Linked DNA regions of Arabidopsis thaliana. The protein of the gene in region 1 interacts with the protein of each later gene in a pairwise test. Each region holds a gene or a part of one and is shown on either strand. Other genes may lie near its edges.

What was found.
Region 2: the proteins of AT1G50280 (region 1) and AT5G57860 interact in a two-hybrid assay, tested with the Arabidopsis thaliana proteins (one large-scale study listed by BioGRID).

The regions. Positions count from the first base shown.
Region 1 is NC_003070.9:18,622,960-18,628,484, forward strand, and holds AT1G50280 (Phototropic-responsive NPH3 family protein), read right to left. Parts: upstream 3,483-5,525; 5' UTR 3,334-3,482; coding exon 3,271-3,333; exon of another isoform or gene 3,186-3,270; coding exon 2,004-3,185; intron 1,292-2,003; exon of another isoform or gene 1,231-1,291; coding exon 898-1,230; 3' UTR 876-897; downstream 1-875. Other genes in the region: AT1G50270 (Pentatricopeptide repeat (PPR) superfamily protein), read left to right, coding at 1-875; AT1G50290 (uncharacterized protein), read right to left, coding at 4,899-5,303. UniProt on the Arabidopsis thaliana protein: May act as a substrate-specific adapter of an E3 ubiquitin-protein ligase complex (CUL3-RBX1-BTB) which mediates the ubiquitination and subsequent proteasomal degradation of target proteins.
Region 2 is NC_003076.8:23,435,567-23,439,965, forward strand, and holds AT5G57860 (Ubiquitin-like superfamily protein), read left to right. Parts: upstream 1-1,987; 5' UTR 1,988-2,163; intron 2,164-2,353; exon of another isoform or gene 2,354-2,389; 5' UTR 2,390-2,424; coding exon 2,425-2,427; intron 2,428-2,707; coding exon 2,708-2,893; coding exon of another isoform or gene 2,894-2,908; exon of another isoform or gene 2,909-3,039; coding exon 3,040-3,079; intron 3,080-3,462; coding exon 3,463-3,521; 3' UTR 3,522-3,837; downstream 3,838-4,399. Other genes in the region: ADCL (D-aminoacid aminotransferase-like PLP-dependent enzymes superfamily protein), read right to left, coding at 1-76, 181-857, 946-1,112, 1,349-1,395, 1,586-1,721; eIFiso4G1 (MIF4G domain-containing protein / MA3 domain-containing protein), read left to right, coding at 4,189-4,362.

The DNA.
Region 1 (5,525 bases):
AGAAGACTCTAAGCAGTGTTCTTTCGGCGTGCGCTCATGTCGGGGCACTTCACCGAGGAAGAAGGGTGCATTGTTATATGATTAAGAATTCGATTGAGATAAACACTACAGCTGGAACTACATTGATTGATCTTTATGTCAAGTGCGGGTGTTTAGAGGAAGCTATACTTGTTTTTGAGAGACTTCATGAGAAAAATGTGTATACTTGGACCGCGATGATTAATGGATTTGCAGCACACGGATATGCTAGAGATGCATTTGATCTCTTTTATACCATGTTGAGTAGTCATGTTTCACCAAATGAAGTTACTTTCATGGCTGTCTTAAGTGCCTGCGCTCATGGAGGTCTTGTGGAAGAGGGTCGAAGGCTTTTCCTGAGCATGAAGGGACGTTTCAATATGGAGCCAAAAGCGGATCACTATGCGTGTATGGTTGATTTATTTGGAAGAAAAGGTTTGCTAGAAGAGGCGAAAGCTTTGATAGAAAGAATGCCAATGGAGCCAACAAATGTGGTATGGGGAGCTCTGTTCGGCTCTTGTTTGTTACACAAAGACTATGAGTTAGGTAAATACGCAGCCTCCCGTGTGATCAAGCTGCAACCTAGTCATAGTGGGAGATACACTCTCTTGGCTAATTTGTACTCGGAATCCCAAAACTGGGATGAAGTCGCTCGGGTAAGAAAGCAAATGAAAGATCAACAGGTGGTGAAATCGCCAGGATTTAGTTGGATCGAAGTGAAAGGCAAGCTTTGTGAATTCATAGCTTTCGATGATAAGAAACCCCTTGAATCTGATGATTTGTACAAGACTCTCGACACTGTTGGGGTGCAAATGAGATTGCCAGATGAATTGGAAGATGTGACTGCTGAATCATGACTTGGGACGTTTACCATTTTCCTCATAAGCCTTCTCTGAAACTATCCATAACCTTCAAATTATATCCTCCTTTAGTCTTCAACCTCTCGGCTAATTTCTCTGTTATCTCGAGATGCAATACTACAGGCTTCTTCTTCTCTTCTGAATATCTACAAGAAAAACTCTTGTTTGCAACTTTAACATCTGAAGTTGTGTGTTCTTGATTCCCACATCTGGACTTGAGTGCTTCAATGGCGATTTCTGGAGGGATCTTAGGGTTTCTGGCGAGCTGTTTGCACGTCTCCATTGTTAGTTTCTTGTAGTTGAGACATCGACATATCTCTGTTCGATCTTGGGGTGTTAGATTCGGATGAGACTGTACAATAACAAAACAACAGAAATTATAAAGGAATCAATCATACACTGACATAATAATCATTATTTCTACAATTTTTGAAAATGATGAACTATTGTTAATTCCAGTAAAACATGTGAATAGAAAAGTACATGAATAATTGTTAGTCTTTGACATGTATTTCAAGTGTAACTGATAGTACCTTACCAGAATTATTCCTTTTTAAGATATTTTTACTAATAGTATTACAGAGAAAAACAAGAAGAAACATACAGTCAAGACTGTTGTGGCCTTGTGGGTCTGACATGAACCCCACGGCAGTAACAAGACAGAGTGAAGAATCTAAAGGATGACTCCAAATCTTCTTAATCATATATATACATCCATGTGTGTATATTATTAATACACGTTAATCTCAAAAAACTTCAAATCTTTTCTTTGATACATTTTCGGTTTTATATTAAAACTTAGTTTGGCTTTATATCCCAAAGTCTCAAACTTCAAATCTTTTATGTTTATGATGAATAAAAGAATAGTTGACTCTATTTCAACTCTTCATAATAAATATATAAAGCCAAAATGTATTAATAAGCAAATGGTATTGAAATCTGTATGGCACTTGTCATCTTCTATATGTCCAATACATATAGAAAATTAAAATTATTCTCTATTTTGTGTCTCACTTTTGCAGGATAAAAAACATTTTTGGCTCAATCATTTAGTTGGTGAAGAAATTCAAGAAAAACAAAAAAATAATAGTAAAACTTATAACTTAACAAAAAAAAAAAACTGACCTGTAGATAGATGTCAATTGCTCTGTAAACTCCATCAAAGCAATCTCTAGCTGAATCCGGCAAGCTCTCTGCAACACCAAGAAACTTGGGGACTTTCAAATTCTGATCTGGAGATATTTCTCTCAAATACTTATCAATCAATTTCCCAATTTCTTTCATATTCCTCTCTCTTGATTCTTCTTCTTCTTCTTCTCTGTTCTTCACAAATACTTTTAGTAATCTTATCACAAGATCAACATTGTAGAAACCACTTTCTCTGCTTCCTCTTGCAGATATCAGAAGATCATCAAGTGTTGCTTGTTCCAGCATTTCTCCTATTAGGGTTTCTAAACCGATTCTTGACTCTCTACTTAGGCTAAAACTGGATAAAACTCGAAGAATCCAGAAGAGTTTCCTGCAAGAAAACGTACGTGTCCCTGCGGAAATCACTCCTCTAACCGCTGTGTCAGCTAAATCTGAGTACTCGAGCTTGTTCCTCATAAGCTCAGTGGTAGTTCTTGATTTGGTTTGGAGTTTTGTCTTGAGATAATGGAGAAGAAATCTGGTTAGGACTAAGCTTTTTATGTTGGTTTTGTAAGCTCCAATGATCATAACTAGCTTCAATATGATCTTCGGGGAAAGATTTGTCATATCTTCGAACCACCACTCGTTGCTTCTTCCGCAAGCAACAGACCGCGAAATATACCTACCGTCTGATTCTGACGTGTTCTTGGCCATCTCAGGAGAAAGAGAAGAGGCGAAGGAAGAAAGCGAAGAAGAAGAAAAATCGTCTGAATTCTGAGAGATTTTGTTCAAAGCTGCGAAAATGAGTTTATCTACAAGACCATACGAATCTGCTTGGAAGAACACTTGCTCGCAGTTCTTGAGACACGAAACGATGTCGCTCCAAGACCCATAGAACACTTCTTCTAGAAACTTCTCTGTCTGAAGGAAGAGATTAGAGAAACAGAACTTCTCCGACATGCCTAGAAAAACAGAGCAGCAGTACAAAGTCGAGACGTTTGAGACGTCGATTAAGATTTCTCCGTTGTGGTAACAGAACCTTGAAACCAGCTCAAACCCATCTGGTCCTCCTGGAAAATCATTAATCTCGATAGTGATGATTCTCTTTTTCTTGTTTCTCTTCTTTTTGCTCTGTTTAATCATCTTCCTCAAGCTTCCAGAGTACTTTGAAATCACGTTCTAAAACAGAGCACATAGAGAATTAAGAACAGAGCATAATCAAGACTGTGGTTTTTTGAACTGAGTTTTAGGTTTGGTTCTTTACCTGATTGAGGAAGAATGTGTATTGGCCATTGAGATTGATCTTAAGATCGTTGAGAGGAGACATTTCATAGAACAACTAGGAAGCCTACTGAGGTCTTGTGACTTTGTGAGCTTTTTTCTGTTCTTCCTCTGTGTTTTTTTCTTGGATTGAATAGAGCAATAATTATAGTGGGCACATGTAAATGAGTGGATATATATAGTGTTTCATTTGGCTTTATTTACACCTGTAAAATGCACAAAAATATATAAACTGAATCTAAGTTTGAGAAATTAGAGGTAAGTAAGACAAAGTTTATGTTGAGCTAGTATAATAAAACCACATAAATTCCAAAGTCTCTCAAATTCCCATAAATTGATTTCTTTTGTTTGTCTTGTTATGTTGTTTTTAAAAGAATGCTGTAGAATTTTGATTCCTATATCTTTGAGAAGGATTGACTTTTAAGAAATTATGATAATTATTTTTCACTGTCAAGTATTCGGTTCATATTGTACATGAGCTTTTCAAACTCAAACATGAATATCAAAACTTCAAAGTGTTTGAAAGGTCACTAAAAAAATTAATACAGCATTACTAAACACAACATACAGTAAAACCTCTATAAATTAATAATGTTGGGACTACAAAATTTTATTAATTTAGAGAGGTTTTAATTTATCGATAAATTAATATTTATTAATTTATAGAGAGATTTTCCTAATTTAGTAACTTTTCAAAAAAAATTATAGGATTTTTTTCATTATAGAAAATATCTTTCAAGAATCAATTACAACTAAACAATAATATCATGTTTAGAAAACAACACCAAAAGTTTTTGATACAGTAAAATACGAGAACTAAATTTTAAATAAAAATAAATACAAATTTAAGCAAAAAAATATTAGAATTATATTTCAGAAAAATTCCTACATATAATGTATATATATAATTGATATATTTATACAATTATTAATTTATGATATTGATGGGACCATATATTTACATAGAACTTTCAAAAAAGTTATTATCTTATTAATTTATCGATTTGTGTCACTTTTTACACTGGTACAAATTCGGGATTGGAAAAATTTATTAATTTATAAAGGTTATTAATTTATCGACTATTAATTTATAGAAGTTTAACTGTATGTTATAAATATCATCATATACTGTACTTTGGTCACTCTTTCTATTAACTTCTTCTTTTTTTTTAAAAGAATTTGGAATTATGTCGTAGTGCATGTGAATAAGTGGGGTCTAGACGAAAAAGATTTTCCTGTTTTAAGTGCGAGTCCATGACGAGCTTTTTTCATCGTATTTCCCATATCCGACCATGTTTTTTTTTTTTTTTTTCACTGGAAAGATTATGTTTATTAATGATCCACAGAATACAGCCCAACAAAGGTCCACTTAGTTACATTTCTTTAAAGGAAGGATATCTCTTTAACAAAACACGATCGTATAACAAGACACGTGTTGCAAGAGAAGCGATGAAACGTTCCTGTCATCCTGTGCCGTCAAAGACTCCGATCCGGTGAACACAATCAACGTCGAAAAAGGGCAAACATCGATTTTTGTTTTTTTCTCACCGGAAACTGCTAAACAGAGAAGGGAGGATACACAAACAGAGAATTCAATTCCAAAATCATCAATCAAGAGATTTGGCAAAAACAGGTAATGAGGAAAGAAAAATCTGAGTATTCCTCAAATTTGATCGATCGAAGCTCCATAAACATGTAGAAACGGCTACAGGCAATCCCAATATGCTGGAAACAAAACTTCCTTTCATACTTGAGGTAATTCTGCAAATCAAACTTTCTAAAGATACAAATCCGAAAACTTAATCTTAGGCTATTATGACCTAAAATTAATCTCCAATTGAAATCTTTAGAAATTATTGAAAGAAAAACTGAAAAAGAAACTAAAGCAATCGGTAAGAACAACCGATCGAACGGCGGAGGAAGGATAAAAGCCGGCCAAAACCGCTTGTAAAAGCCGGATTTGCCAGAAGAGGACCGGCCATCTTTGCTAACAAAGCCAAAATTAATCTCCTTCATATCTTTTAGAGAGAGGAACTGTTGAATTCTGTCGACCGGATTATTCTGGTAAACTGCCGTCCCAAGTTTTGCCGACCATGTTTATGACAATGATATGACATTAATATATATCCCCACAAATAAGCTTAATTTTTTCTTATCCTATTATAGTTTCAGAAACTATATTGTCCACAAAAATCTTCTTGTTCTATTTTTTTTATTCCCATTAAAATCATACAGCGA
Region 2 (4,399 bases), on another chromosome or scaffold:
CGAACGGAAGGTGGACCAGATCTCATATCTTCAAGTAACAGATCAAGAAGCGCCTTTGCTATAGGACCTTCTTTTCCTGAGTCAGACAGAAAGAAACCCATCTTTAATCAGCCAATCTATCCATCATGTAAGTAATTAAAAGTGAGGCTTTTAAAATGTTTATATGATAATCTTACTTACCTTCACCAATAAATTCTTCATCCCATTGAATCACAGGTCTGATCGGAATTCCACTACCAATAAGCATCATCTCATCTGCTTTCTTTCCATCTTCGACTGTCACATCCATTACTTTCACAGTTTTAAGAATCCCCTTGCTTACAAGCTGTTCAGCGAGTGTAAGTGTTCTCTTTGCTGTACATCCGCTCAAAACGTTATCAAACCGCGGCATCACAAGCTCCTTACCACCATTAACAACAAACGCCACATTCATGTTCGGGCCTTCTGCAATAAACCCATCTTTACACACCCAAATACCTGCATAAGCTCCTTTGGCCTCAGCTTCCATTTGTGAGAGTACGTTAGGGAGGTAGTTAACACTTTTCACCGTGGCAAACTCTGGAGGCTTTATGGGGATGGACGAGGTCACTACCTTGACACCTATTGGGTTAATGGCGAAGTTCGTTTTTATAACAATGGCATAGAGAGTTGGTTTGAGACATTGAGATGGAGATAGGAGGAAATCCCCTGGCCCTGCAGAGAGCCAGTATCTTAGAGATCCATCTCTACATCCAGAAACGCTCACGGTTTGAATGAGAATTCTTTTAATAGTTTCTCGATCGAATGGAAGTGGGATCTTAGCCATTGATGCAGATCGCAAGATACGGTCAAGGTGCTGATCCAATTCATAAAGGTATCTGCTTATTCGTAGGACAACAAGCGAAGCTCAGATGATTGAGTAATAAGACAAATTAGAAAAGGGGGCTACTATTTAAAGTGACTAACCCATTGATGATCAGGGCAGTGTCAAAGACTCCATGACCACGGTGAACCATGTGATCATCCAATGGAAGAACCATCGCTGCTGGATCGGTTGTAATTCCATCAACAACACTTGAGTACATGGCCAAGAACTGTTGTCCTCCTCTTGCTAGTTTTAGCCTCTCACCAACCTTTTAAACCAAACATACTTCACTGATACTCAATCAATCAACGCCTCTAAACATAAACGGATAACAAACAAATGTCGCAATCCTTCATTACGGGCTGCATCTATAATTTCATTGACAAAACACAGAAATGTCTGGTGGTTGTGTCAATAAACATCTCTAGCTAACAAATTGTGAACAGTTTCAAGAGTTAAAGATATGATTGATAAGTACAGACATAAAAGAGAAACCATAATTACCTCATAGCTAGATAAAACAGGAACATTCCACGACTGAGAGCTTGAATCTGTGGAGAAACGAATGCAGATTTTTGTCATCAATTCCAGAACACTTATGGAATTTAACGATCAACAAATTGATCTCTTTTTTAGGGTAATAAGTGTACATTACCCTAAAAAGATTATAATAAATGCATCACCAATCACAATCCAGAAGAAAAATCAGAAAAGAGAGAACACAAGGTAGAAATGTCGAACCAGAACACATGAGAATCGTTCTTCTTCGTGTCAACCGACGCGGGAATCGAAAGCCATGTCTTAAAGGACATGGAACTTGAGAGAGAGACCTGAGATTCCAAGTGTTAACTGTAAACTCCAGCGACAAACCTGCCATGGGGTTTGGGACTCAAAAGAATAGAGAGAGAGAGATCATTCGGAAATAGCAACTTGCTTTGCATTATTATTATCTCAGTCGTGAACTGGAAGAAGACGAAAAAATATTTGGGCCTAACTTCACCACAAAAATAAAATAAAGTTATTCGGCCCATAAGCCCAATATGACTTTTCGCATTGTATTTTAATATTCAATCAATCAAAAATAAAAGCCTAAAACAAAACAAACCCTCTCTGTCTTTTAGTGGGTTTTGTACGACGCCTAATCGATGTTAGTATTATATCTGTAGCCAAACAAGCCACCAAAGTGGTATTTTTCTTCTTCCTTCCTTACCTTGTAGGGCTCTGAGCTCGAGTTATAAAAAAGCCAACTTTGATTTCTTTGCCAGTATTTCATCCTTAATCCATTCTTGTGGTCACTTTTTCGTCCTTAACCCATCTAGGTAAGTCGATTTCATTGTTTGTTATTTGAGTCAGTAATTTTTGAAAATCTTTGCTTTTTTTTCTTTTCTTTTGAATATCAAAAGAAGAAAAGATTTGGGGGATAACTAGATCATCTCTTTAGTTAAATTGACTCTTTGAGGTGTGTCAATTGTCACTGATAGTCTGATTAATCTTTTATTGGCATCTTAGAACAGATTTTGATTCTAAAGTCTTGTGAATCGGCAGCGGAAGAAGAGTGAATTGTTCATCCTTATCTTGCCATGGTAAACATTCTACTTCTTTTGTTCACTTTGATGGGTTTGATTGTTCTTAGTATATTCAATCCTTTGCTTATTTGACGGGAAGTAGAGATGTTTTTGGAATGAGAACATCTTTTCCCTTCTTAATTCCAGCTTCCTGATCACATTTATTACTGTTCTTCTTGGAGTAATAAAAGTTGAGATACTTTTGTCTTGCAATAATTTTGCTTTAATCAATCGAACAAGTTAGATTTTGGCCATATTGGTTGTAGTATTGATTAGTCTTGTGTAATATTGTTTGCAGGCTATGTATATTCGTGTGAAGCGCATGAAAACTACTTACTTTATCCAATGTGATCCAACAGAGACTGTTTTGGATGTTAAGCAAAAACTGTTTGCTCTCATTGAGCAACCAGTTAACAATCAGCGTCTGGTCTTAATGTCTACCGAAGAAGTATTAGAGGATTCGAAATCCTTAGCAGATCAGAAGGTATCACACGTTTGACTATCTAATATATTTATCTTTTGAGTCATTGCTCAAGTTTAAAAGAAGAACTTGGTCACATAGCCACTGCCTCCGTTTGCGTGTATTTGAAAGTTATAAGCTTGTCACCATCTTCTTTTTTGGTTGTTCAGGTTGAGAATGATGCAGTTGTGGCTTTGACTTTGAAGAAAGGTTATACCTTAGATCCTCTTATTCTGAAATTTTCAATTCCTTGTTGAAATGTCGTAATGGATCATGCATCTTGGTTAATTACTTATCACACTTCATCTTTCTATATGTTATTTGGTATATGAACCCTTCAAACTCCATTGACTTCAATTGAGCCTGTTATTGTGAATCTTAGTTATTTTGTTATCACTGGATAATCTTTTGGTATGTTTAAGAGTCTTGCCTAACTTTTGTGACCGTGATATAGCTGAATGTGATTCCTAATCTTATTATTCTTTTAGCCTTGTTTCGATTACACAACTGTTGAGGATGCTGTATTGCATTCTGAATCTATACAGCTATGAACGGCATAATGATTGCATTGCATCTCTTTTTTCCATGTGCAGATGATAACGAGTTTGAGGATGTCAACATTGCACAGCCCACCGACTTCTCACTTTCATGAAGAGTTGCTTACTGTATCAAGGAAACTTCAGGAGAAGGTATTGATTCAAAACACAAGGAGGAGTCTATAAACGCCAGAAGTTGTTTCTTTTGCGTCTCTGCTTGTGTTAACGCCTCTTTAGTTTGTTACAGACAATTGTTGTAAGTAAAGATATTGAGATGTGGAAGTTTGATTGCAACTTGCCAGATTAGTAGTTTTTACAGTCTCTTAATATGTTTACAATGAGCTAGAGGTGCAGCTAACACGAGCCGAGGAAGCTCCATTATTACCATTTGACATTGTTCATTGACGGAAAACCCAATGAGGGTGACAAAATAAAGAGACAAAAAAACAAAATGAAAGGACATAACTGTAATCTTAACGGAAAAAAACGTTAAGGCTATAAGTGTGTCTGGTTCGGGAAAAAGAGAGGAAAAAAACCCTAATAAAGAGAAGGGATTGTGTCTCCTTCTCGACTTCTTCTTCTTCTTCTCATTTCTCAATCTCAACTTTTCTCTTCTCTTCTCTTCTTCGCTAACGGCAGGAGAGAGAGAGACCCAGAAATCCGATCCCTCCTCTCCTTGGATTATCGGAGTCAGCGATTCATCGTCGCTGATAAAGCTTCTACCTTTCTCTTCGATTTTTGTTGTGAGATTCGATTCGATCTTAAGGCGGATTAGATCGAGGTATGCAGCAAGGCGATCAAACGGTTCTGAGCTTGAGACCTGGTGGCGGTCGAGGAAACAGACTATTTGGTTCCTCTTCTTCTTCTTCGTCTCTCTCTTTTGGCTCTCTTTCATCTTCGGATCTACCTCTCCTTCGTCCTCATGGTGGTGCTCCTGCTTCCTCTTTTCCCTTCAAGGTACCCTCATTTCTGGGTCCCCTCTCTAAATTTGGAT